2 linked regions of the Mytilus edulis genome follow. The protein of the gene in region 1 purifies or fractionates together with the protein of each later gene. This does not show direct contact. Links are inferred from orthologs where the notes say so. Each region holds a gene or a part of one and is shown on either strand. Other genes may lie near its edges. The genes, in order: E3 ubiquitin-protein ligase RNF13-like and AP-3 complex subunit delta-1-like.

What was found.
Region 2: the proteins of E3 ubiquitin-protein ligase RNF13-like (region 1) and AP-3 complex subunit delta-1-like purify together in Homo sapiens (affinity purification with mass spectrometry; 3 studies listed by BioGRID and IntAct, counting the BioPlex papers as one, with this or other methods). This does not show direct contact. The link is inferred for Mytilus edulis from reciprocal best matches to the Homo sapiens genes RNF13 and AP3D1.

The regions. Positions count from the first base shown.
Region 1 is NC_092346.1:84,994,457-84,998,400, reverse strand, and holds the start of E3 ubiquitin-protein ligase RNF13-like, read right to left. Parts: upstream 2,472-3,944; 5' UTR 2,358-2,471; intron 1-2,357. UniProt on the Homo sapiens protein: E3 ubiquitin-protein ligase that regulates cell proliferation. Involved in apoptosis regulation. Mediates ER stress-induced activation of JNK signaling pathway and apoptosis by promoting ERN1 activation and splicing of XBP1 mRNA.
Region 2 is NC_092344.1:17,870,041-17,873,984, reverse strand, and holds the start of AP-3 complex subunit delta-1-like, read left to right. Parts: upstream 1-1,143; 5' UTR 1,144-1,261; coding exon 1,262-1,357; intron 1,358-2,626; coding exon 2,627-2,722; intron 2,723-3,944. UniProt on the Homo sapiens protein: Part of the AP-3 complex, an adaptor-related complex which is not clathrin-associated. The complex is associated with the Golgi region as well as more peripheral structures.

The sequences.
Region 1 (3,944 bases):
TTGCAAAATCTAGGTTACATCACAAACATCATGAACATTATTCCATATTATAAACTTTAACTTTTTAATAGCAGAAAACTTAAAACTTAAATATTGCTGTATAATGGTATATATATGTTAATAATTCAAATCAATGAATCTTGTATTAGGAGGCAGGAATTTCAAAAATTGTCGAACTGTGTACCTACTAACTTTTAAAATGCCCATGGAGGTTTTAAGTGTCAGATGGCTCATACATCATGTACATGTACAGTCCTAAAAAACCTACCAGAGGGCCTTGAGATGTATCTCAATATTGTATTTTGGCCTCTTCATAATTTTAAAGCCTACATGTATAGCCATCGTAAAATTAACTGTTTTGATTAAAATTGTGGACAAAATTGCCCTTTCAAAATTTCCATTTGGGAGCTTTAATGGGGAAATTCCCTGCAAATAGTAAAAGTTGGCAGGTATGAAGCTGGTATGTACTGATAGTAATGCAAATTTATATTAAATATCAATGATTTATTACAAATAGTTTCTATCAAACTAACTTGCAGAAAAAAAATAACAATTGTTGACGCTAACGTAATTGTTGCTGGAAATACAATGGCTATGGCTTGCTTTCCACTACTTTCGGTGCAGACGAGACAAATAGCTATAGGTTGAACATGTTGAAATTGCAGGAAGATCTTTGTAAACAAATGAATAATGAATTTTACATTTTCGGACATTGTATATCTTTATGTAAGCTAATTCATATCGAGAAATGAAAAAGTCTTAGTTTCAAAGATCTAGCTGTTGGACAATTTAATTTTAATTGTTTAAGAACTAGATCAATCTACATTTGAGTTAGATAAGTTCATGTATATAGATATGGTAATCACTTGAAATATCTGGTATCAATATAAAATACATTTTTTGTACCTGCCAACTTAATGTTTTTCCAAATACCCATGGGGGTTTTGCGTGCAAGATGGCTCTTATAGTAATTAGAAACACCCAAGGGGGCCTTCAAATGTATTTGTATGTTGTTTTTTGTTGCTTCTCCATACTTTTAAGAGCCTATAGCCATTGTAAAATTAACTGTTTTGTTTAAAATTGTAGACAAAATTGCTCTTTCAAAATTTCCATTTGGGAGCTCTCATGGGGGAAATCCCCTTCAAATAGTGACAGTTGGCAAGTTGGAGTTGGCACGTATGATACAGTAAAACCTTTCTTAAACCTGGGCTTTAAATTAGCAGCAAAATGATGATGATGTGACATCAGGTCTCCAGTACATGAACCTCCAGTATACAAGATGAATGTCATGCTCTCTGCATATTAAAAAACACTTGAAACAAATCCTGATGGGATGTGTATGGAATAATAGTGTGAACATGAAGCGAGCCACACCTGATTAATCAAACATAAATCCCCATGATAATGCACATGATGCAGGTGTCTTCAGTTTTGTTATAATAAAACAATCTTATATTAGATGCACGATTTGTCAGGAGCCTGTAATTCAGTGGTTGTCGTTTTTATATGTGTTACATATTTGTTTTTCGTTCATTTTTTTATATATTTAAGGCCGTTAGTTTTCTCGTTTGAATTGTTTTACATTGTCTTATTGGGGCCTTTAATAGCGGACTATACGGTATGGGCTTTGCTCATGTTGAAGGCCGTACGGTGACCTATAGTTGTTAATATCTGTGTCATTTTGGTCTCTTGTGGACAGTTGTCTCATTGGCATTCATACCTCATCTTCTTTTTCATATTATAAATATAGACGATGTAACTGTAACTAATTAAGTACATCTCAAGATTAAAGTATGCCCCTACCTTTAAAATAAATTAAAAACAAAGGACTTCACTGTGGGTCTCATTGGGGTCTAAGCATGACGCGGGATTGCTGATTTTTTATAAGCACGACACGTGAAAGTTAAATTATTGTGTCGTGAAAATGGGAAATGAGGTCTAGCGAGACCCGGGAAATGACAAAAATAATGAGAATTGCTTACGTACACAGTGTAAGCGGGATACGGGAATCTGACAAAACAGTAAGCAGGATCAGGGATCGGAACCCCCCAATGAGACCCCCTTCACTGATTATACAATATACTAAGACTACAATATACAAAATCACACAAAAAAACCAACACAATTCACCACAGTATTATGATCACCAAGTTCGGGTGAAAGGAAAGTCTGAGTGATAGGTTTAATATTCAGTCAGAGTTGTTTCAAGTTATCAACATGTGAAGTGATTCACGAACAGCCATTCCTTACGCAGTTACTGTGGCAAATCAAGGCAAGGAATAGAGAGAAATGTCATAACATACAACCAGTAAGTGCAGTTACATACATGAGAATCACATCTATCAATTTTATCTTACATATTTTCTTATATCATTTGATGTCTTTGATTCAAAATTCCAGAAAGTAGCAAATGTTTACATCTTGAAAAATCTAGAAATGGATTCAATCACGTGATATGAAACAGGGGAAGTAATTCAATATTAAACTAGAGGCTCCCAAGAGTCTGTGTCGCTCATAGGCGAGTGATATGAGAGCCAAATTTACATTTTTGATGCACCTACCTAACACACGGCCAAATTATATATCATACGTGATCATGTATCAACTGTGGTTTTGGAAATCACGTAAACTAAGGTTAAAAACATATGAAATAGTATAAGATAATAACAATTGACGCCAAGTTTGGTTTAATTCGGCCCAGTAGTTTAAGCAGGTCATCCCAGTCTTACACTGAATATCCTGAATATAGTTTGCAGGCATTATTTACGCTTTCGAGACGCGACGGCCATACTTCCATGACGGCCCTAGGATGTGTCGGCCATACCGTCATATCGTCCATGGGACATATCGGCCACACATTGTGAGACGTATCGTCCACACTTTTAATTTTTTTTTATTTAGTTTATTACATAAAATATAATACAAAAGATAAGTATTTGTTCATAATAATAACATAAATATGATTGTGTAGTACTTTTTTTCTGTACAGAAGATTTTATTTATTCTTGTAAGAGTTATATTTGCTTGATCATCATCGCTCGTGTTTACAGACAGACAGACAGAATATTTTATTATAGTGTCACATACCAATACAGAACAATATCATACATCATAATATTAGTATAAAAATACAAATAAAAATTTACATCGAAGTTAAAATATCGGTATCAGCCATGACTGACTTATGAGACACTTTTGCTTTAAAACTTATTCTAACATTCATTACAAATGAATAAAAGTAACCTTTTAAATTACATTAAAAATAACAAAAAAACAACCTGTTATACACAATATTTTCTGCGATTAAACATAAAATATAAGGATTTTGCAGCATGTTGTCTTGGTCGGACTTGCTGGTCACATAGCACACAGCAGCATGCCTAGAGACTGAGTGTGTAGGTAAAGGTAATATCTAAAAGCTGGACCGTGAAATCATTATTAAGTGAAGTATAATACCATCCTTTAAGAGTAGACGAGTCCGTCACTGGTTTGGTCCAAAAGTTTGGTCCAGATCGCGGGCCATTTCACCTTTTCGTGTTTTCTCCTTTCACTTTGCAAATCGTACAATAACTTGAGTTTGCTTTGAACAATTTGAATTTATGAGAATTTTTAAAAACATGGTTCCTCAATGAAATAAACATAATAGAAATTGTCATTATGATCGTGATATATCGCGGCTCGGTAATTATCGCTAATCAATCACATGTGGGCAATCCATATATCACGATAATGACCAGTTTTTCAATAAAGATTATATAAATATGCATAAATGATTTGAAAAAATTATGTTGACTGGTCAGTTATGTTAAGTCCCCGATAATAAGATGTTTAAACGATGGATCATGTAAAATTGAAAATAGACGTGCATTATTTCCCCTACATCTACACTCATGCTGCATTTCGTAATTTGATAATTTTAAGTTAAAAGTATCAATTTATGAAAC
Region 2 (3,944 bases), on another chromosome or scaffold:
GGGGTTCAAATTTTTTATAAATCCAAAGTGTGTGGGGGGATCAATATTTTTTACACATGGAAATATTAAAGTATTATTACTATGACACATTCCCCATTTCCATTCTCAATTTCATTTCACATACTCAGTCAAGAGACAAAATATCAACGGAAGAACACCATAACAATCAAATCGAAATATATTTTTAACACCATTCATATACAATTAAGTAAGACATCACAATACTTTGGTGATGTAGGAAGCTGCATATGTGCTTCATAATCCCAATAATTCAGTCGTTATACATGTATTTCACTCACTCACTTTGATCACTAAATTAAAAAGCATTACTGCCAAATTTTGTTTTAATCAGCTTATAGTTTGAGATAAATTAAGTAGAAATTAAAACGAAATCTACAGTGATTTGTGCAAAATTTTGTCCAAAAATACAAATCACGCTATATCATGAAAAAATATAGTGTAAAGTAATAAATTCTGCAATAAATGATTAAATATTCATCTAATCTGCATACAATCAGTTGAATATTAATACAAAAGATGATTCTGAGATGATGAAAACAATAAATGCATCTTTTTGTTTTCAAAACAAGATCCCTTTGGGTCCATTTATACCTCTAACTCCCTCAACATTTGTATTTTTTAGGCTAGTAAATCAAAATTTTGAGGTTACTATCATACATAATATTCATATTGTTCAAGCTGAAAGCATGAACTATTCATATAACATTAAGTGACCCAATTGAGCTTTCAATATGGTCTTACATGTGTACATAAAATTTAAGATTAAGCAGTGTTCAAGAGAGGAACATATAACATTCAAAATAACCAACCCCAGCTCCCAGGTAAAAAAATGATAAGTCCCATACAGAATCTGAATACGGATAATTTACGAAATCGGCTTCTGGCAAGACATCATAGTTTCCAAACGAAAATAAAAGTCATCAACTAATTACTATTAATGAATTTAGACATTTATTAACTCCTGTACCTGGCTGGTGTTTTTGTAAGATCTGTTTTCATTGTACAGTGTTAGTTAAAATCGATACCAGATCATATCATAGTACTACCAGGAGGTTGAAACTACCTTTATATTTCAAGGAAACATTTCCGGATAATGACCGGTTTCAATCCAGTGGTTATAATAAATTTCCCACGTCAACATCTCACATGATTTAGATGAGCTCCATTTTGATCATCATCTCGGCAATATTTTGTGAAGCTGGATGACATTGGCTGGTAGTTGACTAACATCAGATAGCCAATGGCGTTAAAGAAAGTGAAAGGAACCCTTGAAAGGGTGTTAGACAAAAATTTGCAGGATTTGGTTCGAGGAATCCGCAATCATAAAGAAAATGAGGTGGGCCGGGAAATAAATCAATATCAATTTGATGCTTGAAATCAAAGTTTGTTTACACATAAGGGGCGTTTTTAACTGCATATAATACTGAACGTTAATAATGTCGATGTTTAGCTAAATAAAATTACCAAGATTTGTTTTCTGTTACTATCCCATAAGCTTTATCGGTGTTTATGGCTCAATATTTCACAACTAGGCACAGTTGATACCCAAGTACTGTTGTGTCTGTTACTGTTTAGTCTTCCTTGCTCAACTTCCAAAGAATATTCAGTAATTTATGTATAAAATTACCTTTCTGTAGAATCATTGTTTACTGTTCAATTGAACTGATACCAAAAGCACAGGAATGCACATACAAAAATGTGAGGGATATACATTTATGTCAATGAGATGTAGCAATCAAAGGATAATAATACAGAGAAAAAAACTCAGAAACAAAGTCTAAATGTAAAATCCATTCACCTGCTGGTATGAGGAAAGTGCTACTGAACAATATGCCAAAGGATAACAATAACAATGGAATTTGTATGCTTGCTTTATTTGTCATGCTTGTGACCTGCAAATCCATGTATGTGTTGTATATATATTATTATGTTATTTAAAGATTTCTCCCATTCCAACACAAGTTCTTGCAACAGGAAGTTTTTCATGGCCATACATGTACATGAATTAAACACACAAACCATCCTGCCATTTGAGCGCCTTTCAGGATAAAATTAAGCTATTATTTGACACCACAAGTGGCTTATTATCTCCCTTATTTCATGAATATAGTACAATGATATCATATGTAATTTTGGAATCAGTCAGTGTAAGATAAGCTTTCATCTGATGCAGTCTGAGACCAGAATTATTCATTTACAAGATGAAACTATTTTTTCCCCCAATTCTCTCATCAAAATTAAATTCCAGATACATGTAGTGGAATTTGGCCAGTATTTATTTCTACTGTTATAGTCTTTTTCATATATATATATATATATATGTAAATATATCTATATAAATTTTTGTACATTTTGTTGTATGTGCATGTGAGTGCTACATTTACGTTTCAATACAAGAAATTGTGGATTCATTAACTAATCTGGTAATTCATAGGTGAACCAAGAATGTTCTATACTGTTGGATCTAACTTTGACAAAAACACAAAAATCAAATATTTAAAAATATTCAATTGTTTCATAATCCATATACATGTAAAATAGCATCCACAATATTAGATAATTCAAAGAGCCCTAAAACATTGATTTTTTTGTTTTATAATTTCAGGCAAAGTACATAGCTGAGTGCATTGATGAAATTAAACAGGAATTGAAACAAGAAAATATTGCTGTCAAGGCAAATGCTGTCAGCAAGCTATCATATGTAAGATACATGGCACGGATGAACATATATGTAGTGGGACATTTTGTCATCATTAATCCACTTATCTGTAATCCTTATTCCTTTGGGCTAGCTTTCAGACTCCATCTATAACTTCACCCTACTGTCAAAGATTGCATAGATGCTTAATTGGTTTAGATGCTACCAACAGTTAAAGCGATCATGGCCACTGTTAACGTTCTCCCCAGGCCATTTTAGCGTCGCAGCACCGAAAACTACGCATTAACAGACTATTTGTTAGATAACTTTGTTAAAAATAGATATCATTTTGATAAAAAGAAACAACTGTGACTAATTCATTGAGTACCATGAACCAATATATTTCATAGACATGATAAAGAAATAGTTTTTGAATTTAAATTTATTGCTATTTGAAGGATACTTTCTCTTCCCTTTTTTTCTTTTGATAAGAACCAGTTTTTTCTTAGATATTTAGTGTAATTGTATCTATACAGGTTGCACTATAATAACCCAATCATTCATTTAGTTGGGTAGGTAGGGTAACTTGAACCGCACATATATTTTTATTTGGCTCAAGAGTTGAAAAATAATTGAGTAACTATAAATGAATATAGAAAACATAAACTGAAAATACTGTCATCATGGTTATAGTTTAATTGTATTCTCAGTAAAGATATCAACAATATAAACACACAGAATAGGATGGAATAGAATATTTTATTCACCAAATGAGAGCCTATAGCATACAAACAATATAATGCATTTTGTAATAAACAATAACATATATAACATAAAGGAAATAGAGAATCACCACGATGCAATAGATGACATTGAAAAAAATACAGTTTTTTTTTTTTTACGTCAAATGTTATGCTATCCAAAATTTCTGGGGAGAACACTGATGGCCAGAAAATACTTTTTTCGATTTGTCCTTTTTTCTTATTTATTGTAGGACAATATATATACACACTGTACAAGAGATTAATATTTGGATTTATAAATGAGAGAGTCACTGATTACATTTATTTGGAAAACAGTAATTTTAACTGTTGGTAACTTTATTACAGCCATTGTAATTGTTAGTAATAAAACCTTTCTCTCTGCCATGGCCATTTACATTTATGATCTTTTCATTATTTGGTTATAACGAAAGGTAACAATTCATTTTTCAACAGAGCAAAACTTTGTTTCAACAAAAATATTAAAATTGGTTTGCAAAAATTACCAATTTTCTTAATTTATG